Drosophila melanogaster: one gene and its partners. Changing the gene in region 1 together with any one later gene gives a genetic interaction. Each region holds a gene or a part of one and is shown on either strand. Other genes may lie near its edges.

The links.
Region 2: of Syx5 (region 1) and ru, changing one suppresses a phenotype caused by changing the other (phenotypic suppression), as found in Drosophila melanogaster (one study listed by BioGRID).
Region 3: of Syx5 (region 1) and Ctr1A, changing one enhances a phenotype caused by changing the other (phenotypic enhancement), as found in Drosophila melanogaster (one study listed by BioGRID).
Region 4: of Syx5 (region 1) and Nsf2, changing one enhances a phenotype caused by changing the other (phenotypic enhancement), as found in Drosophila melanogaster (one study listed by BioGRID).

Annotation. Positions count from the first base shown.
Region 1 is NT_033779.5:16,304,136-16,310,214, forward strand, and holds Syx5 (syntaxin 5), read left to right. Parts: upstream 1-3,210; 5' UTR 3,211-3,524; coding exon 3,525-4,194; intron 4,195-4,262; coding exon 4,263-4,996; 3' UTR 4,997-5,139; downstream 5,140-6,079. Other genes in the region: c(2)M (crossover suppressor on 2 of manheim), read left to right, coding at 1-170, 225-609, 662-969, 1,028-1,162, 1,220-1,344; CG5861 (uncharacterized protein), read right to left, coding at 1,824-2,185, 2,380-2,488, 2,559-2,697, 2,806-2,879; cni (cornichon), read right to left, coding at 5,768-5,795, 5,865-6,008. UniProt on the Drosophila melanogaster protein: Mediates endoplasmic reticulum to Golgi transport.
Region 2 is NT_037436.4:1,368,093-1,374,653, reverse strand, and holds the start of ru (roughoid), read right to left. Parts: upstream 4,027-6,561; 5' UTR 3,774-4,026; intron 1-3,773.
Region 3 is NC_004354.4:6,658,954-6,668,585, reverse strand, and holds Ctr1A (copper transporter 1A), read right to left. Parts: upstream 6,940-9,632; 5' UTR 6,785-6,939; intron 6,347-6,784; exon of another isoform or gene 6,245-6,346; intron 4,923-6,244; exon of another isoform or gene 4,825-4,922; intron 3,587-4,824; 5' UTR 3,542-3,586; coding exon 3,508-3,541; intron 3,425-3,507; coding exon 3,213-3,424; intron 3,148-3,212; coding exon 2,900-3,147; intron 2,347-2,899; coding exon 2,317-2,346; intron 1,737-2,316; coding exon 1,535-1,736; 3' UTR 958-1,534; downstream 1-957. Other genes in the region: CG3224 (uncharacterized protein), read left to right, coding at 7,414-7,902; Cdc7 kinase, read right to left, coding at 9,431-9,632.
Region 4 is NT_033777.3:13,831,946-13,840,568, forward strand, and holds Nsf2 (N-ethylmaleimide-sensitive factor 2), read right to left. Parts: upstream 6,047-8,623; 5' UTR 5,968-6,046; coding exon 5,858-5,967; intron 5,758-5,857; coding exon 5,433-5,757; intron 4,798-5,432; coding exon 3,832-4,797; intron 3,593-3,831; coding exon 2,735-3,592; 3' UTR 1,552-2,734; downstream 1-1,551. Other genes in the region: CG31495 (uncharacterized protein), read right to left, coding at 6,829-7,854. UniProt on the Drosophila melanogaster protein: Required for vesicle-mediated transport. Catalyzes the fusion of transport vesicles within the Golgi cisternae. Is also required for transport from the endoplasmic reticulum to the Golgi stack.

The DNA of each region.
Region 1 (6,079 bases):
CCGGAGTTGCACTCAGTCAAAGTCGTATCATTCCATTACAATCACCGAAGAGATTGAACTTCCCGAAGATCATAGCTTAATTATGCCATCAAATGGTTTTGGCGAAGCCGAGGGCGCGGACTTAACCATTTTTCAAGAGCTTTACCCCAAAGATGGCACACGGAACTCACGTAAGAATTCTCAATTCAATTGAAAATGTAATAAACTATTTTTTTGTATTATAGTAAAGCGACACTCAATAGCTCAGGATCCAACTGACATCTTACCGGATAAAATGCCCAGATTGGATGATTGCGATGTTTTCCAAGCTGACAATGCTATCATGACCCAAATCTTTCCGCATAACATTGAACCAGCTGAAGTAACTCAGATAGTTTGTGAACCGTCGTTGCCATCCGTTTTAAATTCTTTTGGAGAAATAACATTTAGCCACCCGAAAAATCGGAAAAGAAAGCTAATAGTAGACAAACGAATTGAATACACCCGGGAGCAGCTGGTGAAGCATAGACAGAAATATATGGAAGAATACCTTTCAAGGAATGTGATAGTGCCAAAATCCTCGGATTTACGGAAACCCCCTAAGGAACTTCTCTGTAAACTGTATAATAAGTAGGAGCCTTATACATTTTGCTATTTAAAACTTTTTAATTTTTTGATGTAGTGTAAGTTTTTTAGCTCTTCATAACCACTCCGGACCTAAGCTCAGTAATGAAGAAAAGGAATTCGAGGCAGAAAACACATTGAGAACCATATTTGGCTGCGAGTTTACCGAGAATCTTTCTAAAGAGATATTTGTGCGACCATCGCAGGCTACAAAATGTAGGGATAAAGCGGCACATATCTATCAGCCCGAACCGCTTGAAGTGGAAGACTGTGTGCAACCTCAACTTCAGCCACGTGATGATGTAAATCAGAATTATCATAATGAAATGAATGAGCACGGCATATACCGTGAGGATAATCATGATGGTGAGTTCAGCCAATGTTTACAACATGCTATCGTAAATAAAATATAATCTCATTGCAGATACCTACAGCGTAATGATGAGTCTCTTAAGCATTTGGCGTAATAATCCGAAAATCACGGGAATCGATGCCATTGATTTTATAAAAACGTTTGATAGTCGCATCAAGGCTTCGTTAGCCTTTCTCCATTTGTTGTGTGAGTTCGAAAAAGAACAAAATGTGTGTTGGAAATAACGTATAGCTTAAATTTCAGATCTTGTTCGAGACCATTTTATAGAGATATCAAAGCGAGCTAATTCGCTGGAAATGTACCAAATTACTCTTGGCAAAGAGTCCGCTAAGCTAATAGACAATCTTATGCTGAGTGAGACTCTGTGAATATTTTTAGATAATTTTTTTCAAGATTACCAAACAACTTTGTAGTTGACAATCTTCCACATTTTTGTTGTTGTTTTGTTTTCTGTTATTGCTATTGTGTTATAACATATAAGTTGAGCCAATCTCTAACCTAGATGGCTTTAATCTACTCTTTTTCCATACAATCTTATGGTACAATTGAGCAACGATGTCCTGGATAATTCGTTTCATTTCAAGAATTGAAAAATTCTATAGATGTTACTTGTTGCTGTCTATAAAAATAGTTTTTTTTTCATTATCATATTAGTTTCGTGTACCCATTAAAAGTTGTTTGTTATCTTTGTTACTATTACGTTATCGTAGCTATAATTCATTAACATTTGGAGTAATTCTCTAAACCGTAATTGTTGTCTTTGTTACAAAATCTCAATTTCTCTGACAACACCAAAAAATAAACAAGTTACAAAAACAAAGGAATACAGAGTGTTTGGCACAATTGCTTAAATTCCGATCTGCTGGGCCAGACCCGAATAGATGTGCAGCGTGCAGAATCCAATGACGGCCGCCACCAGCGCTTTAACAGCCACCGTTAGCCAAGGTCCAATGGTCAGAATGTGGAGCATGCCCTCCAGCCAGACGCCTTTGAAGACAGTCACCGCCAGAAGTAGACTAACCAGCGGCTTTAATGCCTTGTTCAAATCGTGACGGGTGAAGAGCCAGATCAGGGTGGCCGTAGTGATGTGCTGCACCAGAAGCACGTTCGATTCCAGACACTTGAGGATGTAGATCCAACTGAACTCGGTGCCTCGGGCACCCACCCACAGCATGATACCTCGGGAAAGAATCACTTCGGCGGTGGCCCCTGCGGAAGTATACGAAAATATTTAGTTTTTACTAAATTTTTGGAAGTTGTCATACATATATGGGTTGGGGTATTAAAGGTTGAGTAGGCATTGGCTCTTGTAACATTAATATATCTGAACAGAGTACTTTTCAATCTTTAAAAGCCACCCTCATCATTAATTAAGTTTAAATAAGTTGGTTCGTTCAACCTACATCCAAGTCCAGCCGTTATGAGCTTTGAGTGGCCCTTGCCGGGTATGCGACTCAAGATTAGGGCGAATCCAAGCAGATCGGCGATGTCCATGCTGCAGCGAAGAATCTCCTGCAGACCAAAGAAACCACAACATGACCTCAATAATTGGGTGAAGGTAAACAAAGATAAGCACACGTACCGCAAAGAAGTTGAACTCGCCGCTGGAGGATGGAGCGTCCGAGTAGAAGAATGTGGCCAGCACCAGCATCTTGACGAGCTGTGTGAATATATAAATGCCTCCCGCCTGCACGCACTTCCAGAAGGCTCCATATTCTGATCTGTGATTAAATAATAAGCCGGGAAAGTTCACAAATAGTTTTTTATTGACCTGGTAGAGCTGCGGACTTGGCAGTCGGCAAATCACCAGTAACCAGAAGTAAACTCACAGGCCGGAGTATTTATAGGTGAAGTAGTACGGCGTCAGCAGGGCCACACAATTTCCAAAGTGATACAGTGTCATTTTCTTTGATAAATTATGGCTATTTTATTTTGGCTTAATTAAGAGAAGAATTAAAAGTTGAAAAGAAAAAAACTAGCGTTGCTTGCCGTGGGTTATCGATATGTGCTTAACAGGGCTGACGGCATGTCAGGCAGACTATAAAAAACAAGCTAGTTTTGCAGACAATATTTTACAATAAATATTTTAATAATAACTATTATAAATAAATATTTTGAAATATTGGAAAACGTGTGTCTTTCCGAACGAAAAGAAGTAGCAACTGTTTTAATCTGTTTCGTGCCTATCGATAGTTGCTTAAATATCAACACGTCATCGTAATCTATCATCTGGAGGTGTGTTCGTGTGTGTGAGAAGAGTGTGTGTGTGTGCGTTTGAGTGAGTTTTCTGCAACCTTTAGCAATTATTATGAATTTTTTGACAAAACCATTGGGAAATACTTGAACGGAGACCAAATTTTACTTTGTTTAGGACACACAAACCTGCCAGCTAAGTGACGAGCCAAACATCAAACGGTAAACCAGTGCATTAAAGGAGAAAAACAAAGGGGAAATTTTCGCAAAGAAAAGTCCAACAGATCATTTCGTTCGTGTGCATATGAAAAACAGCAACGTCAACTCCCTGGTAAAAGCTGCAATCTGAAATGAGATGCAAACCCGAAGACGCCTTCATCAAACAGACCAGCAGGATTACAGCAGTAGCAGTACCTATACCATTCAAGAGGATCAACAGGGAGGAGCAGGCGCAGGATCTGTGGGCACGGGAACAGCTGGCGGATCGGTAGGACTATTAGCACAGTCCCTGGTTCCACCACCAACTGGTCACGAGGCGGCCATCCACATTGGAGACAACTACCAGTCGGGCGATTCCATTTCCACTCCCGATTACTCCGACGACAAGTACGGCAAGGCGGCCCGCCAGTGGAACCTACGCGCCTTCTCGGGCCACGCACTGCGCACTTTAAGTGCCGCTGCCGCCGTGGTCACCGGCAATCAACCGGGCATCAATAACGATAGCCAAAGCAACTATAGCTACCCCGCTTCCATTCCGACTAGTTCACAGTTTTACCAATCGAAGGAGGAGCCGCAGGAAACGGAACCCGAACCAGAAATATTCGTCATGGCCGCACGCGATCGAACGGGCGAGTTCGCCAATGCGATTCGTTCCCTGCAGGCTCGAAATATCACCCGGGCAGTGAATATACGCGATCCCCGCAAAGCTAAGCAGGTTCAGAGCTACTCGGAGTTCATGATGGTCGCCAGGTTTATTGGCAAGAACATAGCCAGCACCTACGCAAAACTGGAGAAGCTCACAATGTGTAAGTACATGTTTTAGTAACCCCTTAAAGTCATATTCAAAACTTTAAAATTCCCATCTTCGTTTTAGTGGCCAAAAAGAAGAGCTTATTTGATGACAGACCGCAGGAGATTCAGGAGCTGACCTATATCATCAAAGGCGACCTAAATGCCTTAAATCAACAAATTGCCCGACTGCAGGACATCTCCAAGGATCAGCGGCGTCACACAAACGGCAAGCATTTGGTGTCACATTCCTCTAACATGGTACTGGCCCTGCAATCGAAACTGGCCAGCATGAGCACGGACTTCAAGCAAATCCTGGAGGTGCGCACGGAGAACCTCAAGCAGCAGAAGACGCGACGTGATCAGTTTAGCCAGGGACCAGGTCCGTTGGCCGCGCACACCGTCTCCCCCTCGACAGCCAAGCAGGGATCTTTGCTTCTCAGCGAGGAAAACCAAGCGGTCAGCATAGATATGGGGAGCAGCGATACCACACCACTCCTATCAACCCAGACACAGATGGCCATCTACGATGATTCCGATAATTACGTCCAGCAGCGGGCGGAGACCATGCAAAATATAGAATCTACCATCGTTGAGCTCGGCGGAATATTCCAGCAGCTGGCACATATGGTTAAGGAGCAGGAAGAGATCGTGGAGCGTATTGACACGAATGTGGCGGATGCGGAATTGAATATTGAGGCTGCCCATGGGGAGATCTTGAAATACTTTCAATCCGTCTCCAAAAATCGCTGGCTGATGATCAAAATCTTCGGCGTTCTCATATTCTTCTTCTTGTTCTTCGTTGTTTTTATGTCGTAATCAAACGCCAGTTGCCCATTAAAAGCCCCATGTACCTATCCATGTATACAGCTTTTTATTTTAATCAAGATTCAATCACAATATTGTTTATTCCAAGCTGTGGCCTCCCGAAACGATTGTAAAATAAAGTTATAAATACGTTCTAAAGCAAAATACATTTATTTTAGCATGTGGTTCTTTGGTGAATTTTTCCATTCTAATGGAAGCTCTAAAATTAAATATAATTTCCAAAATATAAAGCCGAATGATAAATATGTTTGCTGATGTAAGAAACTTGTATATTACCTTAGAAAACGTGTAATGCAAGTATCAAATTGGAGAGAGACTATATCTATGTTTGCCCTGCTGATAAGGTTTAAGTGCCCTTTCATAATCTTTATTATCTTAAGTGCTCGTTGCTCCATGTTCGTCGTGTTTAGCCAAAAATTCCGCTGTCCCTCATGCTAAACAGAAAAATGAAAATTGGTTACATTGATTTGACTTTTATTTAATGCTTAAAATCCAACTACACCAAAGATGCGATATGCAAAAAATAATCAAAATAAAAACATGTTACAATCTCTTACTGCAGAAAAGTATTACAAATTGTATGAAAAAAACAAAGCTTCAAGATGTCTTTATGGATTTACACTAGAATTTACAAGTGAAGTATTGTTCGCGGTTGATGGGGACTCTTCCCCAAAAAAGGAAGTCCTCTACCCGAGTTTAGACAACTAATACACGACGCTGATGCGTTGGCGCCAACACTGAGATCCCCAGGCAAGAGCTTGCCTATGTCGAGATGAGCGAATAAACCATGCTAAAATTAGCAATTAGAAACGTTAGACAAATGAGGACCCTGGCCACAATGAATCTCAATTAGACTTACCCGTATATGTAGTAGAAGAAGCTAATCAGATAGACGGCCAGTTTAATCCAACCCTCACGCATGTTCCGGTACAAAGTATCGGTTTTCAGGACCGTGGTGGGATCATAAAGTCCGGGTCCCGACATCACAGGGCGGTTTTTGTAACTGAAAGCGATAGGGGTATTACAAAGCATGAGTGCTTAAGGGTGCTTATGTTGGGCTTGGGTGAATCTTGA
Region 2 (6,561 bases), on another chromosome or scaffold:
GTGTAATTTAGAGTTCATATACTTTATATACTGAATAATCTGAATTTTTGTTTGATTAATTTGTATTTATAATAATTTGTAGCACTGTATGTGTATTTGTATCTGTATCTATGGGATGCATTCTTAGCATGTTTGTTTGTGGTTTGCACTGCAGTTTTCGCAATCGTTTGCCTTTGTTTTTGTTTATCGCCAATCCGCGAATCTTTGCTGTCTTATCTTCTTCGGTTGCTCTTCTTTCGTTGTTTTTTTCAGCTCTCTCTTTCTTTTGTTTCATTTTCACCTCTTTCGAAGCACATTGATGAATGAAAAGCGTTGGTGAGAGTGGTGGTGAAGACAGGTGAAAGGGGGGAAAAACGCAAATCGCCGATAAGCGATGAGTATGCGGAGTTCCCTTGGTGGCTGCACTTTTTAGCTTGTGATTCATATTCCGCTGTTGCAATTGCATTTGTATTTGCACATTGCGCTGGTTAGGCACTTTTCCGGCCGAAATACCACCCTCCCCCCACCACCCTTCACAGATACGTCCCTGTTCTTCCAACTCCAAGAAGAACCCCCCTTCTGAGTTTGGTGTGAAATATTTACGTGTAGACAACATTCCACTAACTGCAGTTGCAATGGCAACTAAAGTTCCCGTCCGGGCGAAGCAAACACCGTTTTCCACTTCTCCTTGGCATTTTTACCCACATTTATTTTCGGTGCATTTCCGCCTGCCATTTGCCAGGTTGCCTTATCCTACCTGAGTTTAAAAATATAAAAATAAATCTGAGGGAAAATGGTTGGCACTGCAAGTGAAGTACCCTGGAATTGATACTGCAAGCAATATATGTACTAAGATATGAATAACAACATCTAGTCGCAGTATAAACAAACCAAATATCATTTTAATGACCAAAAGTTTGAGTTTTCCCATTGAATAATTACGTAGCTTCACTTGCACCATTTTCCGAGCAATCCGACTGGTCAAGTTTGTGTAGAAACCCACACCAGATGCATGTGAATCCCAATAGACTTTTGCACCCTTGGCTGCTCCATCGAGGGTATTTGGTAAAAGGAGTTCCTGCGCTATTCATCTGCGCCTTAGTTCGAGCATAAACATTTCCTAAACTTTTATCTAATTCAGCAAACTGCAGCAACAACGTCAGCAGCTTCATCCATTTTGCAAGATTCCCAAGACATTTCCACATTTTCCGACTCATTGTTCTTGTTGTTATAGTTATTGTGTGCTCCATCTTTGGACTTTTGTTTTTCTTTATTTATTGTTTTTTTTTTGTGTGTGGATCTCTTTTTTCGCATTTTTAGCGTGTTTCAAGTTGTTAGGCATTCAACTTTTCACATCGCTGCTCTGCTTATTTTTTGTTTTTCCGCCGCGAAGGTTTTTCCTTCAGCCGACTGTGTGTTGTTTTTTCGGACTTTTCGTTTCGCGTCGGTTTTGTGCAACACACACACACACACACGCCACTCGAGTTCTTTGTTTGTGTCGCTTTGAGACTTTGGGGCGCCTCAGCGTGGCGGGGGCGTGGCTGGTCGGTGGGCAGTGGGGGCTGGCGGGGGTGCAACTTCGAATGGTTGCATAATCCGGCAATTTCTTACGGAATTTATTCAATTTCTGAAGCACTAACTAGCAGCATATATACTTGTTATTTGAAAGTTAAATTGATTAGCTTAAAAGTTGAAAATATTTGTTAACATTTTTGGTTCAGAAAAGCCTAGTTGCACAACAATTTTTTACACACTATTTCGCTTCTGCACTGATTTATGAGCTCTATTTTGTATGCGTTTGTGCGAGTGAGTATCTCAAAGATACCATCAATGTATCTGTATCTGTATCTGGAGTGTGTGCGTGTGCACCTTGGCCGACAAGACAAACTACAAAACTGCTTGAGCCATTGTCTTGCAACAGCTCAACTTGAAATGTCTGCCTAGATTAATGCGAATGCGAGAGGGTCTGACACTAATGAAGGTCAAAGGTGATCCAAAAGGGAAGAGCGGTGAAGGGGTGAAGGGGTGAAGGGGTGGTGCGGAGGTGGAGACAGCTTAAGAATGATTAAACACTATAAACTGTTGACTTCTGCGCTGGAAAATGGGGGAGAACGACACAAATCAGTTGCTGAATTTAATAGCAGTCAGAAGTTTTGGCCAAATTTAGTTCAGCAAACGGAAGCAAATGGTAATTAAAGTCTTACAACTTGGATAGTAATTTTAATTCACAGCTTTCCTTTGATACAAATATGACTTGGGAAACTTTTTTTTACCATATATCTTTAAAACTTTTTCACTTCTGCACACGTTAGTAAAAGAAAAGTGGCCCGAAAATGGGTAAACAAAACTAAGCCACCCTGAAATCAGGTCTTTGGGTCTTTTTTCGACTTTTTTTCATTTTTTTTTTTTGTTTGTTTCGCTATATTGTTTTTATTTTCGGCGTTGCCTCTCTCACTCTGACGCGTATAAAAGCAAACTTGACACATTTAAAAACTATATATTTACAAACAAAAAACGAACAAGAGACACGAAAAATTAAAATGCATTGCGTATGATTTTTTCAAGAATAGCCAACGCATTAATTTTTTCGTATTTTCATGCACTCGACAAAAACTTCACCAGTGACAAAAGCCCAAGGCAGCCCCAACTCCCCTGTCATTTTGTCCATGATTTGTGCATCTGAAACGGATCTTGGTTTTGATTTCCATTTCGATTTCGAGACTTTGGCACTTTTATGTTTAGCAAAAGTTTCACGAGAATAGAAAAATTTCGGAAAGTGAATAAAATTCGCATCGTTGCGATTGAATGAAATACTTTTCGAGGCTGCGTAAATAAATCAAAGTGTAAACAAAAGTGAGCCAAATGTGGCGTCTTCTCGCCCTGGAGACACACGAACTTGGTGGGTTTGGTGGCAAGATGGATGGCCAAACTGGGAGCTCCGAGGACCGCCCACACGCACAGACAGACCCTCTCCATCGATCGTTGGCCACTCCTGCCTACACGCACATGGGTTTCCATTCGAAAAGAGACAATGGAAATCGAATAGCCAACCAACCAGTAGCTAGCTGGCCAAGAAGTTCTGGCCAGAAGTTGGCCAGAAGTAGCACTTGTCCGAGATCCCACAAAAGATATCGAAAATGGAGCAGGGCAGCCCACACATACATATATATATAAAAACCGGGTGACCCGGGGGAGATTTCAACGGAAAGTGCTTGCCATTTGCTGACAGCTCGGGCGCAAACGGTTTTTAGTTAAATCCGCGCTCCACGTTGCGTATACGCAATGTGCGACTGGTGGCTGGCTGGGTGGGTGGGAGTGGTTGGTAGCATTGCAGTTGGCCCGTTGCAAACGGCAGCAAATACGGATGCCGAACGACAAGCACAGATGTTTTTACAACCCAAAAGATACAAAGCAGACAGAGATACTGATGCTGAAGCTGCTGCCGCACTGACAGATGCAGATTTACATGCACTGAAAACAAAAACTGCGATGGCTAACTAATAAGATTGGTTTCTGTTATAAATAGAGGATGGATATTAACGGCAGTAAAAGAGAATATTATATATTCAGTGCGATAATTTTTCGCACCATGAAGTACACCTTTATTTTTTGCAGTGCTCGCTCTAGTCAAATACGTTCAGCTCAGCATGGTTGAGTTTGGAGCTGAGTTTTGCCAAGTTTTAAGCCGATGGATTTATTTTTTTGGGGGGTTTTGCCGGGATCTCCGTGGGTGAGATATGGAATAGATGGGGGATTGAGAGTGGGAATCCTAGGCGGGGGGTGTTATGACTTACCGAGGGGGGTGATGAAATGGTTGACTCTTGTGCAGGCCATCCGGGGGGGGCAGGATTATGTGAACTGGTTGCAGCTTCTATTTTTTATTTCTTTCGAGGATGAGCGACAAGTTACTGCGGCAGTCGATCCGAGCAGTAAATGCTACGAACGGTACGAATGTTCGGTGCTTTTCCACTAAGTTTTTCCTCGGTGGTTTTTCTCTACTTTTCCAGTGAACCGTTAGTTGCGCGTGCTGCCGCCGGTTGCCGTTACAAAGTACCGTTCACAACTGAGCTCGTTTTTTATGCGGCCCGATACTTTTATAGATTCGCAAAGTGCCGGCCTGGCCAAAAACCGAAAGGGGTAGAGCCTCCTTACCGGAGGGTTTACATGTGCACAGTCCGCTGTGTTAGTTGTGCGTGTGTTTGTGTGTGTGTGCTTTTTTTCCATTTTGCACCCCTTTCGAAAAGCCGGCTCTTGCTGGCCAAGGTAAGAAACCCCCCCCCCCCCCTGCAAACCGCCTCCCCCTTTTAAGCCACCCTTTTGAACAATAAAGCCAGGTGCAGCAAACATGTTCGAGGTTCGAACGCGTTGCCAAGTTTTCCTTTGTCGTGGCTTTTTGCTTTTTTTGGCCACCATCCGGTGAACGGTACACGCAAAGGAGTCACGTGAGGAAGTGAGATGGGGCGAACGAGTGAAAGGGAGAGGGATAGCCAGGAGCCAGCTGGCTTTTACCGGCAGCTGCAGGTGCGACAGAGAAAGTGGAGAGACGGAGAGCGAGAGGGAGACAGTTGCAGATGCAGCCGCCGACGGATAATTAACAAGTCACTTATTAAGTTAGCATCTTTGTCCCCTTAATCCATTTGTGAAACAGTGTTTTCCCTTTTTGGCTAATTAACTCAATTATTGCATTACCAAATGTGAAACAATTGGGGGAAACAAAAAAAGCGAGGCTTATGCCTCAAATTATATCTGGCCAATGTTTTTTCGTTTGCAAACTGATCTTGGTACTGTAAAAAAGTAAAAGTTTATGTATAATTAGATAGATTTGATAAAAAAAACACCCAACGTTGATTTCTTGCCCCTGATAAATAAATCAAAGCACTTCGGTCGCAGCTGCTGTTTTCGCCTTGTTTATTGGGTGTCAATAGGTGCATCCATCAGATACAAGACACGAGATACAAGATACAAGACACGAGATACGAGCTACCACCAGCCACGAGATACTTATTTATGTGGGCTATCTCTGGCATCTCTTGGGACCAGTCATCTCTTTTGTATCTGAACTTGTTAACATATCGAGTATAATTTTGATGTGTTGTGGCCTCCTTCCATTTCCCAGCTCAAATAGCAAATAGCAAACAGCAAACATCGAAAGGGCCCAGATACACTTAACAATTGCAGAAACATCTTCATCAAATGGGCCTCATTCTGCTGCCGCTGACAGCTGATGAGGGCGCTGCCCGACCCTTTGTACCGCCCTAGCCCCCTCTCACTCCCACACAGCAGCTATCTCGCTCGCTCGCCCTGCGAATACCACCTCGAATCGCGCAGATTGGATTTGAATTGACTTCAAGATGAATAAGGTGGCAGTTGAATAGGGTCTATGGACCCCCTTTTTTTATGAAATTAAGGGTGCCAAGAGGATAACTGTTAATATAATATAGGGGTGCTGTTTGCAATTTGAATTAAATGCAAGCTAGTTACTATAAAATAACTAAAACTAAGATTAAAGTTTCTTCCACATTACTAGATAGTTAATATGAAGAAGGTAGCTCGATAATAAATTAAAAAGGCACCAAATGCTTTGGTTTAAAAGTTAGCACTAAATACTAGCAACGACTAAAAAGCTTATAATTAATATCTTGTGCCGCAAATGTTTTTCCAGCGCGACCAAAGAAAACACTTTCAATTCAATTCCATTACGCGCAGTCGTAAAATAGAAAACACAGGATAAACATTTGCCCATAAAAATTGCATGGGCTAAAAAGACAATTTTTTAAGCTGTCATTTTTTTCGTGTTTTGTATATTTTTTTCCTCGCTCATTTTCACTCTTGCCCATTTATTTTTTTATATTTTCTTCAACGTGTTTAATTGCACAAAAAAAAATGAAGAAAATGAAACGAAAACAAAGAAAAAATCATAAAAGCCAAAAATAATACACACAAAAAACAAGGTGAAAATATTGCGCAAAGCAAAAATAAAAAATCACAAAAATAACAAAAGAGGCTACAACAAAAATCAAACAAATTCAAACAGCCAGCGAAAAGCAAAGGCAAAAAGCGATTTATGCAAAACACAGATAAGCCGAAAAGTACAGGAAAAAAAAACAAAGACGATTAGGCGATTTAACGCACGCAAAATAAAATCCAATAAAATGTGATTACGGTTGGGTGGAGGGATGGAGGGGGAGCGAAAGGGACGGGGCGAATCGAACAGATGTTCGAACAACAAAAACATCAAAAATAACAGTGACATGCAGTGACGTAGGCGATGAAATTTCGGGGGTTTTGGGGCAAAAGCAAACACCTGAAATCATTGAAATGGAGGGGGGTTGAAGAGGGGAATACTTAATTTATTAAAAATATGCCTAATGTGTTTAAAGGATATTGATTGCAACCCCCCTCAAAATATCCTGCGAATGCCACTGTCGCTTCGCCTTCAACTTCTTCTCGTGCGCGTTGTTGTTTATTTTGTTTGCTGCTCGTGCCAAGGAAAGAGATGGCTAGCTGCCAAGATATCCTTTGACAGGAAGAGAGCGAGGAAATCAAGGATTTCGGCCAACTAGTTTTTCGGCCTCACCTGCC
Region 3 (9,632 bases), on another chromosome or scaffold:
TTGAGAGACTCGCAATAATTTTCTAATAAAGATCAAACTAAATCCCGAAAAAAAAAAACCAGCAATCCGTTGTTTTCTTTGCAATCATGATAAATGTAGTGACGAAGCGCACCAGCCAGCGGTAATGTAAAATCATGCGCGTTTGTTACTAGACTTTTCAGATTTTCAGCATGGACGATCGTGACAATGAAAATAAAATAGGTAATCGATCAAAAACGATTCGAAAAATGAAAAACAAAATTTTCTGTTGTTAATCTTTGCGTGCTAAAATAAAAAGAAAAAACTCTTCGTTTTCCATAACTTTCCATTTCAAAGACGTTTTCGTTTCAGTTGTAACAATATTGTGTTTGTTTATTCATTAATGTATGTATATGTAGATTTAATATATATTTAATATTAATAGTATTTATAAATTTCTTGTCGCTTTACTGTATGTATTTGCATTAAGTTTAATATCTACAACATCTATTTACGCACTTCAATGGATCAGGTGAACATATGCTGCTTACAGTGCGTTTCGGGACATTAAGGCAGTACATAGTATGTAAATATATATGCACTTGGGATGGCCGGCCATTCGTTTAGGAAAGCAATTTCACAACAGCCATTTTCGGATTGAGCAAAAATCGTACGACTGTTTTTACGGAGTCAACTTGCAAAAAAAAACAAACAGACAACAATTTACAATTAGCAGTTAAAATTAATTGAATAATACAGTAACTGTTTTCGAGCCTAAGGTAATATCAGTTGAACCTGAACAACACGTAAATGCAGAGCATAAATCGATGCTAACCTTTGCATACACCAATTACACTCATGAAACGCACTGTTGAAGCATACACTCAATCAAGCCTTAAAACATTCGCGGCCAAGTCAACATTTCACAAGGAAGCCAAATTTAACAGTGTTGTCTTTTTGTGGGACTAACAAACCAAAAGTGAAATATATATCTTATATATATATATATTTATATAAAAACAATGAAGTTTATTACAAAATAATAATAATCATAATCGTATAATTGGTTTACAAAATGGTGTATATCAGTAGTAATGATCAAAAAAAAATATTTGCTTTTTGGGGGAATCCTGCGCACATACATATATAAATTGAGTAGCAACGGAAAAAATAATATTTGCATTGCTTAACTTTATACAATTCGCTAGCCAGTCGCTCAATTTGTTCTCTTTTATATAATTACACTTTTTTCTTTACTAATAGCATAGACTATCTTGATCTTGATGTCAATATTTTAAAGATTGTAAACGATGCAGCGCGGTTGCATCGATTTAGTTTAGTTTATAGGCTAATACCTAGAGAACAGCTGCAATTGCTGCAAGGTTTGTTGAAGTGCGATCGTGTGTATATATGCGTGTGTTCGTTTCCTGTGGGGATGAGAGCTTCCTGGGATTCCCAGCTTAGCACCAATGCCTCTGCCTTTCATTCAGATGGACATTTGCTCCTCCAACGCCTCCGTCTCCGTTTCCATCTCGGTAAGACAACAGCGACTTAGGCTACCGGGAGTCGTTCTCTGTTAGTGACAGTGCTCGGTTACGTCCACGATAACCGATTTCTTCCAGCAGAAGAGGAAGTAACCAACGGCGGCGCCCAGGACAACCATCAGGCAGAGCCACACGTTGTATGTCATGAAGATCAGCATGAGCAGGAAGGACAGCGTCACCTGGAGCACGTGCAGCAGTGTCTGGAGCAGGTGGTTAATCGACAGCATCGAAGGTCTGTTCATATCGAAAGAATTTTACATTTAGTTATAATTAAAGCAAACATCGAACAAAATTAGCAGGACAAGAAAATATACATAATTGAACGTAAACAAAAATCAAAACAGAACTAAGTATTGCTAAAGACTATATATATATATATATATTTATATATCGCTGAGCTGCTCTAAGAATTTCCATTGTTAGATTAAACTACCATTATTGATTAGGGTTAGATTCTCTCTAGATTAATTGCCAACTTGAGCTACAGGTGTGTAATACTATATCTTGTGGTCCAGCCAGATATTCTGTACAAATGACGGGCCAATTTGTAAACCGACACGGATTCATCGTCGCCGCCGAGCGCAGTTGTTTCCATTAACTTTTTCCCATTAACTGGCGCATTGGGTATATCGGACATATCGGATAGCCAACAACAGCTAAATAGATTTAACTAATTCAAATTGTAGTGAGGCATCAAAATTACACAGAGACGGTAATCTATATAACACATATGTACGTATGTATGTATATTGATTGGGCAGGTGGTCAAGTGGTGTACATATACATATGGTGTGGTCAATGGAGCGATACTTACGGTTGCTTGTGCACAACTTCGCCCACGTATCTAAGAAAGGATCGATCGAAGCGTGCCGGGAGTAGGGACACCACACGATTGCGGATGCGATTCGCGGATGCAGATGCAGATACAGAATCAAATTGAGTTACAATATATATATGTTTAGTTTCAATTACGGTCGCGTGAATCACAACAATGGCCAATTATACGATATTAACGAGGCAGACCGTATCGATATGAATTTGGTTTTGAATTGGGTTTCGTTTAGTTTTTTTTTTTTTTTTTTGTCGAGATGATTCAATTTACAAATGAAGAGCGACGACGCGCATTGATGATGATGCAGATAGAGATATTGATGGTATTGATCAGAATGTGAAGCGGTAGCGGTAACGATTTGAACGATTTAACGGGTAACAGCATAACGAAAACGAAACGAGAAGAGAGAAGAAAGCATTAAGATTAATATATACAACAAGTTAAGTAAATACAATAGATACAAAGCTACAGTATGGGTAAGGGCAACAGGCATGCGAAGGGGATACCAAAGATCCAATATGATCCATTCCATTCTACAATGGGTAGCAGAAAATCCGAAACTCACTGAACGGGCGATGGAGCTGCCGCTGCCGGCGATGGTATGCGCGGTGCCTCCGGATTTCTTTGTGGCCCCGTCACAGGTCGATATTCCAGCAGATTGTATGTCTTCCAGAATAGATACTCGCGGTAGTACTTCAGTCCCTCGTACATTAGGGCCAGCAGGAAGATGGCGATCATGGAGCCGATCAAACCGGCCACTGTTTCGATGTGCCACCAGGAGAACAGGATCGTCTCGTTGTAGCCAAAATGGAACTGTTACGATTGAGGAACATTATTTGGTTAGAAATGAAAATTCTTCAAATACTACGTTCTCTTACCGCCATGGGCATCATGTGCTCCATTCCCGTGCCAGAGCCACCGCCATGATTGTGCGCTCCGTGAGCGGCGTGACCCGCGTGACTTGCCTGCAAATCGCTGGTATCGGGGATCAGGTCGAACATGGAAGCTGCATCCATTGGAGACGCTGTCGCAGCAGGTATACCGCTGTGATCGTGGTGCATGCCCACATGATCGTGATGCATCGAGTGATCTGTGGATTGCGAATGATATAGATAAGATGCTAGATGCTAAGCAGGCATCTTCAATGTTTTGGCCAAATCACACAACACCTACCAACACCGGGCGCACTGTGATGGGCGTGGTCCATAGCAGCTGGTTAACCGACTTCTTATTGTGGATCTGCGATTAATGACTGCAAAGAAGAACGGAGTGAAAGTCGCATTAAGTCTTTGCCACTCGTAAGTGAATAATAAACAATGTACATAAATGATAGCAATGGCTACAATGGCGGCCAAGATAATAGAGCTTTCTCTATATAAATTCCCCATGAAAGGTTTAAAGATCAAAACAATCTTGCAACTAAGCTGTTATTACTATCTAATATAAACACTGTAACATATATATTATATTGACCATTTTTATATTATTTTTATTTTTGTAAGTCTAAAGTTTGTGTTTTTTTTGCGGGTCAATTGCCAAGCCCCAAATCGCATCAAAAACCGATATATCTCAATTAGAAAGTCAATCTCTGAACAATCCAACCTCCGCCCTTTCCCTTTCACATCTTCGAAGGGAATGTCCAATGACGAATGCGAAATGTGTAGCTGGGTAAAACTGTGTAACTGGGGAATGTGAAATGAAAATGCCACACATAACTCTGCGTGCTCCATTCACAGGAAACTGCGTGAGGCAGACCCGACACCCGATTCCCCACACCCCCGCCATAAACTACCACCATATCTGACCTTGGATTAACCTGGATTATAATGGGTCGCTAACGACTCAACCAACTGCTGTTCCACTTCTGCAAATGGGAACACTGCGAACCATAATTAAACAGTGCTGGATACTTCATTTATTTCACTTTTTTGTTTGCCTCTGTGTCTGTGGTTCACCGCATTCAGTTAATATCGCAGTTTTAGTGATAAGGTGCTGCGACGACACCACATTGCAAAGTAATCAGTGAAACATGCTCGAATATCGAACCACTTGTGGCATGCAGTCCAAGAAGCTCGCTGCTATGACAGGATGTGCGGCTGACTGATATGAGTTTAGGCATACATAGGCAAAAACCTCTAAAAAATGATCCCAACTAATGATCCATTCCTTTGAAATTGTGGCCTACTTCCTTCGATATCCGTAATGTGGACAACTGTCGTCAAGTTGAAATGGTCGAAACAATAATCCAGTCCGCATTAATATTGCAAGCAATCACATTCGCCAATTCCATTGAAGAGTTAAAACACGTATTCCTCCCCCTTTTCACTGTAATCAATCTCATCCCATATCTCATTAAAACAAACAAACGAGCTTTAGAAATCCACTCGTGGTACAAAAAAAAAAAAAAAAAAAAAAACCCGCTTCGCTGGCATTTTTGTTCTGAGGAGCGAAATTTCTATAAAAATAGGTAAACAAGTGTACATTTAAAACCTCTTAATGCGGCGATCTGTTGAGGAACGGATTGCTTTAGCCTTCAAGCGATGAACTCAATAGTTATCCAACTGAACTGGACTGGCACAACTGGTTAACTGGTTGGCTTGGCTGCCACTATTTTCGGTTTTGGCCCGAAATGAAAGGAAAATTAGCTCGGTTACGGTAGTAATTTGTTTTTCAAGACAAAGATCGGTACGGCAACCAACGACTTTCAAAATAACCCATAAGCAGAGAACATACGCCACATAATTGCTACTCTGGGATGCAGCAATTGTAGTTCGATTTGGAAATAATCATTGAACACAGTGGCGGTGGGGAAAAACTATAAAAACTATTATTCTGGTGCAAAAATACAGAAAAGTTAAAGTTCAGGGTAAATTTGCGTGGTTTATAAATAACATTCTGTGGTTTGTTTGGTTTCTATGGAATCCCTGATAGGAAATCGTTTGGGCGCTTTTCTTTGGGAGGCAATGGGAACCCCCTTTTCAGCGCCTCTGATAATTAAACAGCAGAAAACTAACGCACTGGGACCAAACCGGTTGGACCTATTCACCTCTATCACTCTCGCTTTTATTCGCCTGCATTAGTAGCTTTGCCTTTACACAGAGAGAAAAGCATTTGTTACTCTTATCATGAAATAAACCATTATCACTAAATATTGTTTAAGATTTGTATATTTTCTAGTTCTATTTTGGGCAAGTAATAATGAATAATCTGCGTTTACCAGTAATATTTCTATTATGCTAAATGCTAAGACTCAGCGAAATAGCTAAGATATTTTGATATAAGTTTGAAAATGGAATTTCACGACGTGATGAAGTGTGATTCATTATTCATATTATATTAAAGAATTAAAATAAGAATTGAATTAAAATTTAATTTAGTTCCAAATATCAAGTGAAATTTAAACGATCTAGCAACGTAAACTTTTTTCTTTCTGTTTATTTGCATGGACAAATGGCATTAACCGTTGCTTCATCTCATCAGCTGATCTCCGCCAAGAGAGCCCCATCCTCTGCTCCTGCACACACACACACACTCACAATCGCACCAATTGCGAAATGTCAAATCGTGACCGACATGTATTGCAGCAACAAATGGGAGAGAAACGGCGAGAGTGCGTGTGTTTTTTTTCTATTGCAGGCCGGGGGAGCTATTATATCACATGTGTAAAGAAAAGAGAGTAGGAGAGAGTTTGTTGATCTGAATTCGAACATACATATATCACTCAACGCACGAACACAGATAGAGGGTTAATTGTGCTTGTAACGGTATAATTGACTGATAAGCGATTGGCACTGATAATCACAATCGGTATGCAATCGCTGATTATCGATAAGGACTCCTAAGCTTTGTTTTTAGTTTCGTTTATACTATTTCACGCATTTCGCGTTCTTTTTGTTGTTGTTGTACTTACTGCAATTGGCGGGCAATTGGCTCGAGTTGTAACAATCTACAATGTATGTATGTATGTATGCTGTAACACCGGTTTAAGTGACGAACTCAACGGAATGTCTAGCTAAAAACAGAGAGTCAACGAAAAATGCCAATAAGCCAACAGTCGTACATTTTAAACAATGCATGCAGCTGCCGTTGACACCCACCCAACCCCCTGCACCAGTCATTTAACAACAATCACAGTTTCTGATTTTATTTTGTGCTTCGTTGTTGCTTTTTGCGCTAAATCACACACGCACACACACTCACTGCAAACGCTGAGCTTTTGAAGCAAGCGAGATAGCAAGAGTGGACCGGCTGCAGCATCTTATGAAAAATAATAATTGCTTTAATCGTTTTTGCAAGTGTAAAACCCGATCTATTTCACAGTGTTGTTATCCAATCACACATGTGTGTGTGCGTCCAGCCCACACACCCACTATTTGTATTATCAATTGCACTTTATCAACGCAAGTTAAACCGAACTCTATGTTTATGTATTCAAATGTTAGGGGCTTACTTTACTTCCTGCGGCAAGGAAATAAATAATATTAAAACAAAATGCGCACGGTCCGCCCGCAGACAACTTGTTCGCACGATTGTTGATGAATTAATTGCAAGCATATGTTTTTTTATTTAACAGTGCGCTGCCTACGAAAAGGCACTAAATAATGCCAAAAAATAGTATTGTAAAAGACGAAGTAGATGGAGTGCAGCTTAAAAATGAGTAACTTATACAACTTATTGTCGCAACAAGTAGCTAATTTATGGAATTTTAGTTTAATTAGTTTTGGTTGAATTTAGTTTTATTTCGAATAAATAAAAACAGCTGTGTATCAGTGTGCACACACCACGATTTCTTCAGTTATCGATAAGAAACCAATCGGCCGGGGACCGTCGCCAACATTCTATGTGCGCATTAAATTAACTTGTTACCTTTAAAACCCTCGTTTCTTAACCAAAAAAAGGTAAAGTTAAGCAACAAATTACTGTAACAGTATATAAATTAACATTCAAATGCATTACAGGTTTTAGGAAACACCTAGCAGCAGCAGCAGAATCTAAAACCCCATTGGCAACCAAAACACGTGCCAAAACAAACGATTAAATTTTCCGTAAAAGTTGTAAATATAAAAAAAAGTCAGCAAGATGGGAATGGTATCGAAACGCAAGAAGATGCACTATGGCGATACCCATCTGCAGAGGAGATGGCGTGTGCGGAATCGACGTCGTGATCTCGACCAGATCGACGACGATCTGCAGACCCGGAGCGGTGAACTGATCAATCAGAATGTGGATCTCGACAAGCCGGGATTCGCGCAGTTCTACTGCGTGCACTGTGCCAAGTACTTCATCGATGACACCGCCATGCAGGCACATTTCCGCACCAAGGTGCACAAGAGGCGTCTCAAGGCCCTAGAGATCGAGCCGTACAGCATCGAGGAGGCGGAACGCGCCGCGGGACGTGGCAGCTTCGTGAAGCCCAAGAAGCGGGCGATGGAAACGCAGCCATCGAAGGAGGACGTGGTCGCTGGCAAGAGGATCCGAGTGGAAGTGGTGCCCGAGGATACAGATGCCACCGATTCGCCATCGACGTCCAAAACGAAGCGCAAGAAAGTCGAGAAAATGGAGACATAGGCGAGGAGGATGAACCAATCTATTGATCTAGCTTAGTTTTTAAGGCCCTCGGGGACAGGACTTTCTTCACCCCCCTCCCACAGAACTCTGTTTACCTCCAATTGCTTTCTTTAAATACATTTTTTTTCCAACATATATAAATCGATTCAAAATTAATTTTCATTTAATGCGCGCAAGGGTGGCGAAAGATCAACAAGCTTCTAAACAACAAGCAGTTCAACGCTTCCAAGCGGCAAAGCTTTATTTACCGTTCTTTTGATTTCTCTCCTGCAGCTCAAAAGTTCAAGTTCTCTCCGCAAGCGGTCACTTTCTTCGTCCGTGAGCAGCGGTAAACACAAAATGCGATGGCTGACGCGCTTTAAAATTAAAATTAAATAAATATCAGCGTCGTTTGCTGTCGAAAAGTGCTACAAAGTGTAATTAACCAGTGAGCGCAGGTCGACGCAATGCGTTTGATACGGTATTTCTAGTTTAAACGGGTGAAATTGGTAAATTTCTGCAATTTCCTCATTCTCCTTTGGGCTCATTCTCCGTTGGCGCGTGTGTGGGTGTGTTGGTGCGTGTTCAACTGGCATTCTCATGTGCACTTAAGAGTATGCTACGTTTTAGAGCGGTGATCTTGTGCATTTTGCCATCGCGAGTGTTTTGTTGTGAAATGGCTCATCAAAATGTGAGAGTATTTGTGTTTTTTTTTATATTTTTTTTTAGGTGATTTGTGCTCAATAAATGTGAAATTAAATAATGTACAACTTTAATTGCATGGATTTATTTTGAAAAGGGTGAGTCATTTAAATTTACACTTTAATTTTATGAGTCCTATATTTGCAACTGAAATATAATGAATAATTTAACGTACGGTAACAACAATATGCGTACTAAAATCCCCAAGCATTTGTTTGTTTAAGCAAATAAAGAATAATTTGCACAAATTTCCATTTTTGGAGCAAAGAAAATCAAGGCCTTCATTCAATCTTCACGGTATAAATATATGTATTTGTCGCTCTTATATCCTCGTTCACATGGTTTTCAGATATACAATAATTATACCTAAGTAGGTTAGCTACAAGACTATTCGAACTATACATGATGGGGATAGTGCAAAATTCTTTGCCACTGGGCGATGAGGGCCATGCACTTGGGTCGCCTTCGTGTTCCTTAATATACAACATTTTGTAGCCTTTCGGCCACAATATTTCATAATCAATCTCTCCTCGTTTGCTTTTTTGGTATTCCTTGCCCATTTTGTTCATGATTGAAACATTTCTTTAAATATACATTTGTATGTTTGTTTGTGAGTGTTGTGTGTGTTTGTTGCGTGGTTTCATTTGGTTTTATCTGCCTGCGGCTTGAGGTAAGTAAATGTGGCCTAGTGGGGCATTGGACGAGTTTCTTCTGGCTCTGGGTGCAATAATGAGATATGCTCTTGAGGTGGGTCTATATATATGTACAATCATGATCAGCGAACTGGGTATAGTATATGTATGTATGTACAAGTGGTGTATGTATGTTTGCATGGTGGGGACTAGTTTCACAGCTTGTTAATGGCCGCTTGCTGCAGATCAAGGGCAACCTGCTGCTTGACCTGCTCCTGTGAGGCGGCCACCGTTCTGTGACTTTGATATCTTTGTCGACGCATCTTGCGCGGCGTTCCATTGGCCAACTGATCCTGCTCCGTCTGCTCGGCCTCCTCGGCGGCCGTAAAGAATGGATGCTTTAGTGCCTCTTCGGCG
Region 4 (8,623 bases), on another chromosome or scaffold:
TTTAAGTTTCATTATTCATTTAAAACAAAAACACTAAAGAAGATTTAATAATAAAGACTTATGTAGCAAAATAATACACTATGATACACTGTGCGCCGGAGAATTGACTTTTCACAAGTGCAGAGAGTGCGCCGCTGCTGGCTTTAATAATTAATAACAAAAAAAAAAAACGAATTTGTAAGAGTTTCGTTATTTTTACAGGCGGTGAATGAAAATCCGTTTCGGTTTTAATTTTGGCTCCTGCTGCCGGCAGCGCAGCTTTGCTTTTTGGCCCGGTCGTTGATCTTTGTCCGACTGGACTTTCGTCACCAAGCGTTTTGCATACGTGAGCGACCGCTCACTGACGCGCTGGCCGGGCCCCAAATCCGCGAATTATAATTACCCATCGATTGCCGGGTGGGTGGGTGACTTTTCCTGCGATTCGGACGCACTTGCCAAGTGCTAATTACGGACAGGATCCTTACTCGGTCACAGTCCGCAGAAATAAAGATGCAAAGCTCGTCTTTAATATTTGTTGGTATAAATCGTATGTCTTAAATAAAAAAATCAAATCAAATGCACCTTTTGGAACATTTATAAACTATAAAAGCTTAAAAACCTTGTGGGCATGCCAATTTAACCCATCTAAGGGTTATAAAATCACAAGTATTGCACATGACCAATAAGGCATTAGACTAAAATGTAAGTCTTATGCAGGGGCATACCCTAGTAATCATGTTGCTTTTCATATAGTTTCAATTATACGTAGACTTACTAATAGTCCTTACATTTACAATGTATATTTGGAGTGTGAAAATCTTTACGATCACGATGTCCAGAATTTCCCCTACCCTTTGGGCAAAATCATGATTGTGTCGAGCAGTTCCAGGGGCAATTGGCAATGCAAATCAATTTTCAGATCTTTGCAAATATGCAGCTTTAATTAGTTAATAAGTGGCGCTGACTAGCAGCTGACACCGTCGCGACATGGCCATGGCTTTGGGTGCTACCATGACTGTTGGCTATGGCTATGGCTACCCAGGATTCCTCAGACGACTGCCGCTGATAAAGCTGGACTGGACCACAAATGGGCGTCGAGCGCAATTAGCGCCATATATCAATTACCGAGCAGTGTGGCACTCCACTCCGCTCCACATTACGTATACGCAGACGACGCGCCGCTAAGGTGTTTTCATTATAAATCATTTATTCAAATTGCATATTACGCCGACCGACTGGCTGTGGTCAGCACCTCGGCCAAGCTGACCACTGCTCTGATTGGGTTCCGGCGTCGGATCTTGTCGCGAACAGCTGATCGATGGATCGGACTGATCGGATCGGATCGGGTGAGTACATGGTATGATAACCACTTGACGCCTTCCAAGCGGACAGCTGTCGGGCGGCGATCGCCGAGAAAAAACAATATTTAAATAAATAGGAGTTTTCAAAGAATTCAAGCTGCTACACTCCGAAACTACCAAGGGAACTAATGTGTCCTGGAACGAAAAGAAAAGGCAATCAATCAATTTGCATTATATATATTTTTGACTAAAGATCGTTTCAGCCGTTCTTATTAAAAAGACCATAGTCTTTGGGAAAACTCCATTTATTTTTAGCTATTGGGTAAATTACATAAATTAGTTTGTTATCCCGTTGGTACACATCAAGTTTATCCATAAAAGACATATCCATTTACAAATGATTCACATATATTTCGTGTTTTTCGAAAAGCTTCGATCGAAATTCAGAAATTGTAGCTAAGACATGCACCTTCTTTAGCTAGTTTTCAAACCCAAAGTGATCTCACTTATGGATGTAAAGAAAAATATAACAAAAATGATTTGTTTTCGTTTTTGGTAAAAAGTCATGTAAATAAAAATCACACGTATTCAAAACTGTGCGCTCTGTAAAATAACTTTCAGAATTATAGTTCTTAAGTATCGGTATAACGCTTAAGCATCTTAATTCAATTTTGATTTAAAAGATCAATCTATTAGGGCTGCATCATCGGATTTTTGTCTTTTTTATTTATCATGGTAAATGCAATATCCGTAAAATCCTTATAAAATACATCATGTTGGTATCAAATTCTCTATGTAAGTCTGTGCACTCAAACTGAGATTTTCATGGTGGACACCGACGGATTATCCTTAGTCGCTAATGCGAGTACTTTAAGTTCGTTGGTATCATCAAATTCAAAACTTACAAATTACTTGACTTTATCTCACAAGTTGGTCTTCAGTTACGCTTTATTATATTTTTTTTTTTTTAGTGGAACTTAAGCGAAGTATAGCGTTAGAATATTATATTGCAGCTGAAACCTATCATTGTGATTCCCTTTTGATAGCGGGAAAAAAAACACAATCATAAAATTGCACTAGGGTGGGTCGATTTCTTCGATTTGCAGAATATGAGTTTATAAAATTATACACTTCCTAATAAACAATAAAAGTGGTCACCGGTTCTGTGTATTAGGCTTGAAGGCAACTAATTTCAAAGTTTCACGAAAGTATAGAATTTTATAGAAACCCACTCTGCAAGTAAGATATTTTGAAATATGGGAATATATTATTATATTATATTACGTTGTACTTTTTTCCCAAAAGGTTATAAGTATTTTTGTAACGGTTTTTTGTTTTAATACATATATATATATTTTTAATTGTAAACACATAACCGTTTTTCCAGTTTGAATCAATCAAATCGAACCACTCTGCTGTTTGATAATGGAATGTAAATTAATTTAAAGGCGTAGCTAGTGCCCTTGCACCCTATCCATTTCCAGACCGCCCTCCTCCTCCATTTTGCTGAGGAACTTGATAACCCGCTGGTGAGGCTCCGATTGCCGGATCATATCGATGAGAGCCAGCAGCTTCTTGATGCCGATACACAATCGCTTACCCGCCATTTTCCTGGCAATGCTCTGCAGCTCCTCGGGACTAAACAAATCAGAATCATCCAGCACGGCAAGCACGTTCTCGGGAGTTGAGAGATTGGACACATGCAGGACGGACGTGAAAGCCGAGAGCATTTCCATCTCCTCGAGAACGTCCCGCCGGCTGGAAGTGCACAGGATCAGCAGTTTTCTACCCTTTGGCGGTTGCTTTTTCAGTAGAACCAATAGCGCCTGCAGCGTGAGATTAGAGTACCTGGGTCCAATTGGACCGTAGTCTAGCAATCGCTCCACATTGTCCACCACAATGCAGCTCAATGTGGAGCGATAGGCGTCGTCGAAGATCTTGCGGATGTGCAGGCACTTGGCTGACTCCGTAAATCCTACCATATCTTCCGGGGAGCAGACCTTAACGAATGGGAAATCACTCAACTGGGCCAGATTAGCGGCCAGCGCTGATTTGCCGGAGTTGGGAGCTCCTTCGATGAGAACAGACACCAGGCCAGAGCTCTCAGTGGCCTTCGCCTGCTGTACGGAGAGCATTCCGTCCTCCAGGAGTTCGGTGACCGGTGGGCCCCAGTTTATAATTCCGCGTGCCAGCAGATTTTCCAGCATCTCCTGGGCTGCTCCAAAGGCGGGCTTGATGTCGTTGTCCAATGCGTGCAGAAAGTCGGCTCGCGTAACACGCAGTTTTTCCATAGCCTCCGGGTCCACGTGAACCTTGGATCGTAGAAAAGCAAATGATGATGGTAATTTTAGAATAGTGGAACAGTCGAACGTTAATCGCTTTCTTGGTTTATCGAAACCAAATTACTCGAAATTAAACGAAACCCGAAACGCAAACCGAGAGATAAATGAAATAAGCGAATACGCCAAATAAATAAAATAACATTTCGATCCGAATGTGAATTAAGAGAACCCCCTTTCTTTGCTTTCACGCCATGCTGTGCATCATATACCTTGGAGTCCGCCTTTATTAACCGATTCATGGCCGTGGATTGGGCCGCTCTAACCAGACCCTCCAACTCTGCGCCACTGAAGTTCTTTGTCTTGGCCGCGATCTCATTGTTGTCCACATCGCTAGCTATCTTGTTAAAGTCACGCATCCGCTTGGTGTGGATATTCAGGATCTGGACGCGACCCTGCTCGTTGGGCAAGCTGATCTCCATTTGCACTTCCAAGCGTCCAGGTCGCAGCAGGGCCTCATCGATCATGTCCCGCCGGTTGGTCATTCCTATTACCAGGATGTTGTTCAACTGCTCCACGCCGTCGATCTTGGCTAGCAGTTGATTGACGACCGTGTCGTGGACACCACTATTACCGGCCACGGATCCGCGAGCCTTGCAAATGGCGTCGATCTCGTCGAAGATGATGATGTGCAGTCCACTGTTCGGTCCCAAGCGCTTTTCCTCCTCCTCGGCCTCGGCAAACAGTCGCCGGATATTGGCTTCTGATTCACCCACGTACTTGTCCAGGATCTGCGGTCCATTCACGATCTTGGGTTCGCGGGCATTCAGCATGGTACCTATTTGCCGGGCCATCAGGGTTTTTCCCGTGCCTGGTGGTCCGTACAACAGAATACCCTTAACGTGCTTGATGCCCAGTTGTTCGACAAGTTCCGGCGGAAAAACACGAGAGGCGAAGGCGCGTCGGAAAATCGCATTGAACTCTTTGTCTAGGCCACCAATGCCCATCTTGCCAAAGTCCCAGTCCGGATTTATGATGGACTGCCGCACGATCTTACCCTTGGAGCGACCCTGCAGATTTAGCACAGAGTTTTCGGCCTTCTCGAACTGCACCACCGTGTTACCGAGGATGCGGCCGAATCGTACGTTCCGAGTCTTCGGTAGGGAATCGCCCACTGTTCGGGGATCCACTGCCTCCAGCGTTTTTACAGCGAGGCCCAGGAATTTCTTGTCTTTGAACTGAAAGGCGGTAAACATCCTTATTAGCAAACGAACGATATATGTACATTAAGGAGCATGTTAGAAGAATTACTATGTTAAGATAGTTGCATTTCCTATGAGGGCAGCCTAACACACTATTTTTAGTTCATAAAAAAGGGGGACATTGTATGCTGAATTATTAAAAAAGATTTGGCAGAGAGCCAAAAAGATGATCTAAGGGAGAGTTACGTGTCTTTGGGTTTCTAATTGTTGGAGGTAAGCTACCTTGTTAATATTTGCATTAGGTCACCGTCTAAATGTGGAATATGAGATTCAGCATCTCATGACAATCAAGACACGTCAGTAAATATAAAATAACGAATATCGAATAACACAAATAACGAATATTCTCACTACCGCTATGCTATGAACGTATAAATCTTTTTGTAAAGTTATACAAAACCAAAATTATTATAAGTGCACACAATAAATGGTGAAATAATGAATAGGTGCGTCCGAGATAAACCGAGAACCCTCATTGAATTGGGTAGTATTTTAACTGGCTCTGGCATATATCACTAATCCTCTCCAGATTACTACCTTAGTTTCAGTCCTTTGCTATCTATTTTTCTATACTGCATACATTTATGGGGGAGCCACATCCACACCATTACCTGAAAGACGAGCGTTTGGCCGACGGTCAGCGGCATTCCGGCGAACTGCATGAGGAACTCCTTGGCCATCTCGTCGGAGTCGTAGGGCTCCTGCGTGGTGGTCTTCTTCTGCAGGAAGTCCGTCTCGAAGGAGACCAGTGTGATGATATCGGCGCTGGCATCGAATCGGTACGGCCGCACGTCTATTTCCTGGTTGATGGAGAGCGTGGCCCACTTGCGCTGGACCAGCGAGAATCCGACGTGGCCGAGCGGCAGCTCCGGCCCGCTGATCTTCTCCAGCGCGAAGATGTAGTGCAGCCCCGGGCCCGGCGAGATGTCCACATATCTGCAGGGTATCAAGCGGTGCGTCATTAGCATAAGCGAAAGTTTCCATAGGCTCGTACGCCCACGTAGGAAGTGGAAAAACAACAAAAACCAACACTCACTTGACCTCCTCCGTGAAATCGGACACATTCACAATCGCCTTGTTCGTCAGGGACAGCTCATCCGTTGGGCATTTGATCGCTCTCATCCGGTGGGCTTTTTCAATTGACATTTTCGTAGCAATTTTATAATATAATCCCGAAATTGTCTCAAACAGCTGATAGCCCGTTGAGGGAGTGCAACCCTGTTCGGCATTGCGTGTGTGTATGCACTGTGATTGCGAGCAAAAGATGCCTGCTACGGCACCTGCAGTGCAAATTTGAATTCATTGGCGCGCATTTGCATTTTCTAATAATACATATATCCCCCGCATTCAAGACTTCTTCGCTGTTGCTAAGCAGCTCTGCAGCACCAGGATTGGTGAAGAAAACAATCCAAAAAATGTGTTGTATCAAAAGCCAAATCCTCTAAGTAAATAACGATAAAATGGGTGGCATTTGCAATTCAAATATCTTTATTTTTACTTATATATATATAATATGGTAATAAAACTTGTTATGCCAATCACCAAAGACACTAGAACAATATAATATATATATATAATATATAATATATATTATATATATAATTATGTATATATATATATATTGGACAACGACATCAAGCCCGCCTTTGGAGCAGCCCAGGAGATGTTGGGCCCACCGGTCACCGAACTCCTGGAGGACGGAATGCTCTCCGTACAGCAGGCGAAGGCCACTGAGAGGTCTGGCCTGGTGTATATATAATATATATATAATATAATAATCTAGTATCTTTGCAATCACATTATCGGGCTGTTCATTTTAGTCTTAAGAACATTGCAATGCAATGGAAGCAAGTTCATCCAAAAAATAATGCAATATTATTTTTTTAGATGGTTTTTTTATGCTTACGTGGTTCTTTTAAATATAAAGCATTACTGAATTATTTGGAATCACTTGGAATTATTTTCCTGGAATTGTAGATACAATATTGCATTTCCTAACCTAACGTCTTAAATGTATTGAGGTACAAGTGGACTAGAATGGTTCCCTACCCATCCCATTGCTTCGCCCAATTTCTTCAGCAATTTGGCAGCTCGACGGTCGGGATTTAGGGAATTCACCCACGCAATCAAGTCAAGCAACCGTTTGATGCCAATGGAGACGTTGCGGCCATCCATGGCGATCTCGATTTGGCGTAGCTCCTCGGGCTCGAATCGTTTTGAAGCTTCCACTATGACCATAAGTTCTTTAGGCGTGGAAACATTTGGCACATTGTGAACTGAAGTGAAAACGGATAGCAAGCCCAGTTCCTCCAGGACATCGAGACGATTGCTTGTGCAAATGATGATGAGCTCGTGGCTGTTGGGCGGTTGTTTCTTCAGAAGAACCGTCAGCTTCTGCAGGAACTCCTTGGAGTACCGCTTACCCAGGGCGCCGTAACCAATGACACGCTCAAAGTCGTCAATGATGACGCAGCTGCGCCTGGAAACATAGGCGTCCTCCAAGACTTCCCGTATTCTCTGGCATTTTTCGGAATCGCTAAGTCCCAGCAATTCGGCCGACGAGATGTATTTTATAAAAGGGCAGTCTGTTTTCAAAGCCATTTGAGCGGCCACCGTAGTTAGGCCTGACTTGGGCTTACCTTCGACCAGATGGCAAGACCATCTTGGGCGTCCGGTGGACAGGAGATCATTCGGATCGAAAGCGGTACGATCTAGATATTCATATGGCATGAGCAGCTGGAGAGTCTCCTCCTGCCGGCCAAATCGTGGCTGAATGATCTTTACCGCGGCCAGGAGATCGACCTGAGTGACTTGAAGGCCCTTCGGGCATCTGGTGACGTGAGTGCGGACAATGGCTTCATGGAGGGCTTCTCGGACCAGTTGGCACAGCTCGTCCTCCGTGAAATTTTTGGTTTTCATTGCAATTTCGCGTGCGCAAACATCGCCGGCCACCGTAATGTCACCCAGCCTGTTGATGCGCGATTTTAAGAGGTTCACACGCTCCTCAGTGTTGGGTAAAGTGATGTTGACCATCTTGGCGCCCGGGTTGGCTTCTTTTATGGAGAAATTATATTGGATATGAAATGGTCAAATTGTATCAGCTGTTCTTTACAAAATGGTTTTGTATATTATGTTATCCACCTAAAATCGATTGCGATAACTGCGATCGATTTTAAATTTCAGGGACGGTCGAAGTTTCGATAAGACGGTGGTTCAATTCAAACCATTATATTGTAAGTTTTTATTATTTTATAAGGTAGCTTAAAATTAAAATAATATTAATATTTTGAATTGCCATTATTTTCCGAACCAATGTGTTATCAGCTTCGTTATGTATGTGTTATCAGCTTCGTATTACGATAGTGTAACCAAATTTCCATTTGAAAATACTGCTTTTCCACTTGGCTATTACAAAAAAAGCGCGCCACTTTTGAAAAATATCTAAACTTAAAATTAGTAAAAATAATTGCACACTATTTTATCCATCAAGTATTTTAATGCCTTGACTTTAACTACATGAAATGCAGAAAAAATTTCATCGTACATATATGTCACTTTAATATTTGTATTGTTTATGGCTAATAAAAATACCGATAGACCGATTGACTGGCGGTTTCGATGTACTGCAACCGTTACAATTTAAACGACTTTGTGATTTATGATATTCTTGAGTTTCGTTCCGTTTGCTAAAACCTAGGCACACATTATGAATTCCCGCTTTTCGGCTCTTCTGCTGGGTTGGCTGTGCAATTACTTGCAATATCGTATTTTTCTTCTTTCCTTGCCGCTGACCTCGAGCAGT